Sus scrofa: one gene and its partner. The protein of the gene in region 2 binds, or shares a complex with, the protein of the main gene of each other region. Links are inferred from orthologs where the notes say so. Each region holds a gene or a part of one and is shown on either strand. Other genes may lie near its edges.

Evidence for each region. The genes of interacting proteins can lie anywhere in the genome.
Region 1: the proteins of POLA1 (region 2) and PRIM1 are in contact, whole or in part, in a cryo-EM structure (PDB 7OPL), measured with the Homo sapiens proteins. The link is inferred for Sus scrofa from reciprocal best matches to the Homo sapiens genes POLA1 and PRIM1. Residues at the interface, in NP_058633.2 of Homo sapiens: Tyr439, Ala440, Pro447, Glu448, Lys449, Ser450, Phe876, Thr877, Thr878, Gln880, Leu906; in NP_000937.1 of Homo sapiens: Asn92, Thr93, Val94, Lys95, Leu96, Gly97, Ala98.

What each region holds. Positions count from the first base shown.
Region 1 is NC_010447.5:22,086,554-22,090,802, forward strand, and holds the start of PRIM1 (DNA primase small subunit), read right to left. Parts: upstream 2,861-4,249; 5' UTR 2,809-2,860; coding exon of another isoform or gene 2,706-2,808; intron 2,436-2,705; 5' UTR 2,282-2,435; intron 1,993-2,281; coding exon of another isoform or gene 1,889-1,992; coding exon 1,835-1,888; intron 1-1,834. UniProt on the Homo sapiens protein: Catalytic subunit of the DNA primase complex and component of the DNA polymerase alpha complex (also known as the alpha DNA polymerase-primase complex - primosome/replisome) which play an essential role in the initiation of DNA synthesis.
Region 2 is NC_010461.5:20,759,573-20,763,218, reverse strand, and holds part of POLA1 (DNA polymerase alpha catalytic subunit), read right to left. Parts: intron 1,077-3,646; coding exon 952-1,076; intron 1-951. UniProt on the Homo sapiens protein: Catalytic subunit of the DNA polymerase alpha complex (also known as the alpha DNA polymerase-primase complex) which plays an essential role in the initiation of DNA synthesis.

The DNA of each region.
Region 1 (4,249 bases), on a different chromosome or scaffold from region 2:
ACAGAGACAATGTCGGGTCCTTAACCCACTGAGCCACAAGAGGAACTCCCTCTATTCTTAAATATAAGCACAAGCAAGAAATTACTGGAGGAAATTTTCCTTATCATATGAGGAAAGCCTCCAATATGAAAGAACGGGGAAAAAATAAACAAAGAAAAAGTGCAACTTTAGAGAAAACAGATGGTGTAACAAAAAAATTAAACTATTATTGATATTCTCAGGTAATATATGTCAGTGAAAAAAATACATGATGCTCTAAAAAACTTCTTGGAGATTTTAAATATAATAGCAGAAAAGGAAACCTCTGAGGAAATTCCCCAGAAAGTAGAGAAAAAGGAAATTTAAAATAGAAAAAAAAAAAAATACAATTAGAGGACATAATATCTGATTGTAGGATTTCTAGAGACCAGAGAAAATAGGTAGGAAAAATTATATTAAAAATTAAAAAAGGGAGTGCAGGAGTTCCCATCATGGCTCAACAGGTTAAGAACTGGACAGACGGAGTTCCCGTCGTGGCGCAGTGGTTAACGAATCCGACTAGGAACCATGAGGTTGCGGGTTCGGTCCCTGCCCTTGCTCAGTGGGTTAAAGATCCGGCGTTGCCGTGAGCTGTGGTGTAGGTTGCAGACGCGGCTCGGATCCTGCGTTGCTGTGGCTCTGGCGTAGGCCGGTGGCTACAGCTCCGATTCAACCCCTAGCCTGGGAACCTCCATATGCCACGGGAGCGGCCCAAGAAATAGCAACAACAACAAAAGACAAAAGACAAAAAAAAAAAAAAAAAAAAAAAAAAAAAAAATTAAAAGAACTGGACAGAGTGTCCATGTGCATGATGGTTTGATTCCTGGCCTCTTAGTGGGTTAAGGATCTGGCATTGCTGCAAGCTGCAGCATAGGTTGCAGATGCAGCTCAGGTCTGGTGTTGCTCTGACTGTGGCATGGGCCTCAGCTACAGCTCTGACTTGACCCCTGGCATATGCCATAAAGAGGAAGAAAGAAAAAAAAAAAAGGGTAGATCCCATTATGGCTCAGCAGAAACAAATCTGACTAGTATCCATGAGGACACAGGTTTGATCCCTGGCTTTGCTCAGTGGGTTAAGGATCCAGTGTTGCTGTGAGCTGTGGTGCAGTTTGCAGATGCGGCTTGGATCCTACGTTGCCATGGCTGTGGCATAGGATGGTGGCTACAGCTCCGACTGGACCCCTAGCCTGGGAACATCCATATGCCATGGGTGCAGCCCTAAAAAGACAAAAGACTAAAAAAAAAAAAAAAAAAAAAAAAAATGCAAAATACTGGGGGAAAATGGTTTACAAACTCAACCATTAGTTAAGCATAATGGTAGAATAAACACATTCTCCAGATACACAAAGTGTCAAATATCTTTTCTTTCATGGACCTTTTCTTTTCTTTTCTTTTTTTGGTTCTTGTCTTTTTGCCTTTTCTGGGGCCCGCTGTAGAGATGTAGAGATTCCCAGGCTAGGGGTCAAATTGGAGCTGTAGCCGCGGCCTACGCCAGAGCCACAGCAACGTGGGATCCCAGACTCGACTGCAATCTACACCACAGCTCATGGCAGCGCCAGATCCTTAACCTGCAGAGCAAGGCCAGGGATCAAACCTGCAACTTCATGATTCCTAGTCGGATTCATTTCTGCTGCGCCACAACGGGAACTCCCATCAAAGAACAAATTTTATTTTCACTACAATCTACTTGCAAAAACTGTTAAAGTGTGGCTCCTTAATTAGAATAAACTCTAAAAATGTATCTCAAAACGCTAGGGGCACCAATCCATTCTTGGTTTAAAAAAACAATAAACTACATAAAAAACTGATTTCTTACTCTGTGGGAATATACCGCGCCTATATCAATCTTGTATGGATTCATTTTCTGCATCTCCTTTTCCAGCTCACTCTGGTTGTTGAAAGATTGGTAGCGAATGTAAATGTCATCTTTCAACGTGAATGAAAATTCACGGTGTTGAAAGTAATTCTTTACCACTGCAAAATGAACATACATTTTAAAAGTTAGTATGGTATTTTATCCAGTTCAGAGTATTAAAACATTAACCAACAAGAAGATATCTTTCACGAACCCTCTGTACTCAACACTGTGCTACATTAAAACAAAAACCAAAACCAAGAACTAGTCCCTAATTTGAAGGAGTTCACCATCCTGCATTTAATAGGGAAAGGTAAAAATGAGGAAAAAGATGCAGAAATATTTTCATGTAGTACCACCTCTCTTTCCTAGGTGGGCACTCAAATTCAGCTGGGAAGAGTTAAGTACCTCTCCTCTTTCAGGAGATGCCCGTCTGTCCCTGATGCAGATTATGTCTCTGCAGCTTCTTGCTACAACCCAGTGGACTCCCTTGCTCCCCGCCACCTCCGCCACCTTCGCTCAGGAACCGAGAAGATTAACACTGCATCAGAGCAGGTAAACGCTGCAACGAAAGTGAGTTCAAACACAAAGTGGGAGGAGCAAAGGCTCTGTCTTTCAGTGCGTGGTGTAGACTGGTCATTACATCCCACTCTAGGCCCATTTACACCTCGGCAGTGGTGGGGAGGGCTCAAGGCAACGCACAAAGGCGCCCGACACAAGGCCTGGAACATGGAAGGCACTTCATATTGTCATTCCAAGGTACCCTCCCAGAACCTCCTCACACTCCCCCCCCACCCCGAGCCATTTCCCACCCCGCTCCCGCCTTCATCACCTCCGCCATAGTTCAGCCAGCGATAGTACTGGGCGTAGGGAAAGAGCCTCCGGTAATAAAGCTTAAGCAGCTCGGGCAGCTCGGTAGGGTCAAACGTCTCCATGAAACGCAGAACTCAACCCAGGCAGGATTAGCACGAGAATTGGCGGGAACCGCACAGTCGAGCTTCCGCAACTGCGCAGGCGCGTAGTGGCAGCGGCCAGCCATCTGCAGGGGCTGTTGGGAATTGTAGTTCTCTTTTGGAGGTTGGCTTGGGTGTGGGAGCGCTACTACGGTCTTCACTCACAGATTTAACATGTAGGTCCACTTCTCTGGTGGGTAGAAGGAAGCCGTGCTCATTGCAGGGAGATCTGCGGAAAGGTGAGCCATGGAACATATTAAGGTTATTAAGATGAAGTGAAAAAGATGTTATCTGCTAACTTTATGACTGTTTTAGAAACAACACATTTAAACAATGTTAACCAGTATCTTTTTAAAGAGGGTTTGGAAATTGGTTCTTCATAGAATAACTAGGTCCAGTATGTGGAAATAAATGATGACCAACCAAATAAGAAAAGCAAAAGCTATTCATTCAAGAGCTTGCCATGTATAGAGTCAGCCACATCACATTACATTTTGGCAAAGGCTCAAACGCAGGCAGAGGAGGGGAGAAAGCTTTGGGGGGGCAGGTTTCACTCTTTTTCTAATGCAAAGCTATTTGTTATGGGGAAGCTGTCTGTGGGCTACCTCAGAGCGGGGTATCCTATGTGACCTATGTGATAGGTTAGGGGTGCATATTTGGCTTTCTGCGGTTGGTCCTAAATTGAGAGTGGGGACAAAAATTAGGGAAGCTGTCAGTTATTAATCAAGTACTGGCTATGTTGGATGGATTGTTATGTAGGGTATTTGGCTTCCTGGAATATCACTAGAGACTTTAGTTTGATTTCCTACAAGTCTGACTTAAAGCAGCCTGACTTCTTGGGCTATTTATTATATAGATAAGGGGGTTGGTTTCCTAGGTAGGCATTGGAGAGGTTGTGGGTCAGAGTTCTGTTTTTTTATATGGTCTGGTCATCGTTTGTTTCTACATTGTCGCTTAAACAGAACACCCAGGAATACTAAAATCAGAGGAAGCTTGCAAAATCATGGAGTGCTTTACAAATTTGAAAGAAGCCTGTTTACTCTTGACATGCACATCTGCCAGTCAGTCTTACCAGGTAGATACATTTCATTACAAATGTGGACTGAGGTGGGCAGTCTGATAATCACCCCAGTGCTGTGTCATTTGAAAACCATTATTTTCACAATAATAGTAGGAAAGCAAGGAGAGTATTCTCTGCTCTCTAGTGGGTTATTATTAGCCTAATTTGAAAGTGATCATGGCCCTTCATCTTGCATAGGCAAAGTGGTCAAACTAGGCACTGGGCAGATCATACTTACTTGAGTATTCCTAGAAATACTATATAAATCTTAGCTGATTTTCACAATCCCTGTGCTTCCTGTTTTGGGTGAATCCCTTGCTGGAAAGGGATTCACTCTAATAGCACCAAGAGTGCCCTGTAGAG
Region 2 (3,646 bases):
CCAGAGCCACAGCAACTCGGGATCCGAGTCGCATCTGTGACCTACACCACAGCTCACAGCAACGCTGGATCCTTAACCCACTGAGTGAGGCCAGGGATCAACCCACAACCTCATGGTTCCTAGTTGGATTCGTTAACCACTGAGCCACGACGGGAACTCCCACTCTGCTTTTTTTACCTGCAGCCCATTAACAATGGGTAGAGGGAAAGAGCCAAAAGGTCATCACATTCTATCCTACACGCAGTACACAGCAGAGGGAAGGTCCAGTCCTCCCACGCTCCCCACGCATAAGAGATGAGGAAGAATAATTCTCTCTAAGAAGAAGCAGAGCTCAGCTAGACTGTTCAATACCTTGTGAGTAAAGTAAAGGCATCTCTAAGTTCCCCCAACAAAGCTATGGAACTTAGCAGAGATGCAGTGTGCTTAAAAATGAAAAATATATAGTTACTTTAATTCCAGATTTTTTTTTTTTTGTCTTTTTAGGGCCACACCCAAGGCATGTGGAAGTTCCCAAGCTAGGGGCCAAATCAGAACTGTAACTGCCAGCCTACACCACAGCCACAGCAACTCAGGATCTGAGCCAAGTCTGCGACCTACACCACACCTCATGGCAATGCTGGATCCTTAACCCACTGAGCAAGGCGAGGGACCAAACCCGAATCCTCGTGGATACTAGCCAGGTTCCTTACCACTGAGCCACAAGAGGAACTCCAAATTTCTAAATTTTAAAAGCATCTGTAAAGTGTCTCACAGGAACTCTAAGGGTTGAGTAATCACCCATCATCTAAATCTACTTCATGCCCATATGTGCTCAGTATTTAAAAATTACTGTTATAAGAAGTCTGAAATAAATGCATATTTCTAATGAGTGACAAAGTGGACAAAGGATTAGCTACAGGCTATGAAACAGATGAACTACAAGTGAAAAAAAAAAGAAAAATGGTTACTTACTTCATATTTATACTTCTCACCAGCTTTAGCCCTTTTCAGTCTTTCTAGAGCTTCCTGTCGCCCTTTCTTGGATTTCTTCTCTCGCCGGGATCGCGAAGCTGCAAGACTCCCTGAATCTGACATAGCTGTAGAAAAGCCAAATTTGCATGAGATGTTACAAAACTGTCAGCCATCTTCCCTCAAAAACAAAGCAATAGTTTTTAGCCAATAGTAATATACAATGTTCATGTAGTATACAATGTTCATGTTACACAAATGTATACTTTTTCCGGTGTAAATAATTTACAAGCTCAGGACTGAATCTCCAGTTCCCATGGCTCCTCAGAAATTTTCAGCTGAAGCAACAACTGTTATTTTTGTCCTCCAAAAAGAGAAAAACTCCAAATTCAACTGATATTCCCTGGAGACACTAAAGAAGGGAGATCAGTAACCTTTCCACTGGTGATGATAGCCCATAAGTAGCTATAAGAGGACAATTCATTTTGTATTCCATCAATAAACATTTGAAAGGCTTTAAGGAGCACCCTCTCTTTGCAAAGTACCAGGCGCTCTGCAAGACACAAAGGCAAGTTCGGGTCCTAGACCACCACCAATAAGGTGAGTGTCGCGATAGCAATAAAGTGAGTCACACGAATTTCTTTTTCTTTTTCTTTTTTTTTTTTGGTTTCCCAGTGCATATAAATGTTATGTTTACACTATACTGGAGTCTATTATGTGTGCAAAAGCCTTATGTCATTAAAAAAAAGTATATACCTCCATTAAAAATACTTTGTTGCTAAAAAATGCTCATCATCATTTGAGCCTTCGGTGACTTGTAGTAACATGAAAGATCACTGATCACAGACCACTCTAACAAATAATGACAAATCTGAAATGTGAGAATTACCAAAATTCGATACAGACAAATGAAGTAATAAGCAAACATCAATGTGAAAATGGCGCCAGTAGACTTGCTTCATGCGGAGGCGCCACAATCTTCAATTTGTTTAAAAAAAAAAAAAAAACCACAGTATCTGTGAACTGCAATAAAGCAAAGCACCATAAAACAAGGTAAGCCAGTAAGTAGCAACTAACTCTAAAACAATTTTTAGAAGTAAAGCATACCCTAACAAGAGGTTCAGATAAAATGTCTAGAATTTCAAAGGAAGGATAAATCAGGAGAATGTAACGAAGATGGCTCTGAGGAGATTCTTGATTCTACCACTGATTTCCAGGCTTCGAGCAGTTGGCTGCGACATTAGAGCATGACAGTCAAAAATTACAAAGATCAAGAAGTTCTCTTGTGGCACAGTGGGTTTAGGATCCAGGTGTTGTCACTGCCGTGGCTTGGGTTTGATCCCTGGCCTGGGATCTTCCACATGCTATTGGCATGGCCAAAAAAAAAAAAAAAAAAAATTACAAAGATTAAAATCTTTTGTGGAAAATTAGTGAAGTACCCGAGGGCCTCAGTGGTCATTCATTCAACTTTTGAATTATTCATGCTTTTGATCATCATAAACACATACTGAAAAGATTTCATCCACAGAATGGAGACTTTCACATACCAGCTGGCGAAAAATCAAGTCAAGCAAGACAGTGCCGCCTGGCAGCCATGAGTTGATGCTCACCACGACTGGCACATAAGTCTGAAATTGAGTGTCTTATTGTACTTGGTGCTATTATTTTATAAAAAAAAAAGAGCACAGAAAAGGGGAAGTATTGATAACAGGCATCCTAAAAGCTCCAACCCCACTGGAACGTTCATAACAACATGAAGCTGTTTGACTAAGTGTTTGAATGAAATAGAAGATGCAATTTACAGACATGTACCAAATGCTGGCAATAAACTGTTGAAAACCATATCTTAAAGGTGTGGCATAATTAGAGATCCTATTTTTTTCCCTAGCTTTCTGGAAATGGAATCTCTTTGTAACATCTCAGCCTATTGTTTGACTTTCACATTTGACTTTTAAATCCATTTTCAGAAAGGCATTAAGTAAAAATTAAAGAATGCAGGTACTTAATGCTGACAGCCACAAAATCTTGGGTGTCACTCAAATGATTTCAAAAAATTATAAGCAGGCTGACACAAAAAGGCTCCAGGAGATTACTGAACAAGACCACTGAGAGGGAAAAGTTGGCCTCAGGGTATTCCCTCAAGACGCCCTGGACTCTTTTATCAGATTATTCTGACAAAATTATTCTACAGGTCTTCAAAAAGACTTACTCCACAGGCAACAATGTGCCAGTCTAAGGGTTTGGGGTACAATGACAAGTAAGACAGAGCTGCTGGTCCTCAAGGGACTCCCAGTCAAGGAAAGCATAAAGGCCTGAGGCTCCCACCATCGTATAAAGATGGTACCATGTAAGAGGTAAGAACCTGGTATTAAGGAAGCAGAAAAGAAAGCCATTAATGTTGCCTGGGAAATCAGAGAAAGCTTCACAGGGGAGGTTTCCAACACAGAATTTCACCATCAGAATACAGAGCGACAAGCGGCACAAGCAAAGGAAAAGGCATGAGGCAAAGCACAAAGGGATGAAAATGCAAGGTGTATTCAGACAGCGAGAGGAAGCCAATGCAGAAGGAAAGTTGGACAGGAGAGCGAAGAGTGAATGGGAGGATGGGAGATTCGAAAGCAGCAGCACAACCAAGTTCTGCCATATCCTGGGTAACATGAGACCACCGGTTAAGCTCTCTGTGCCACCATGGCCAGGT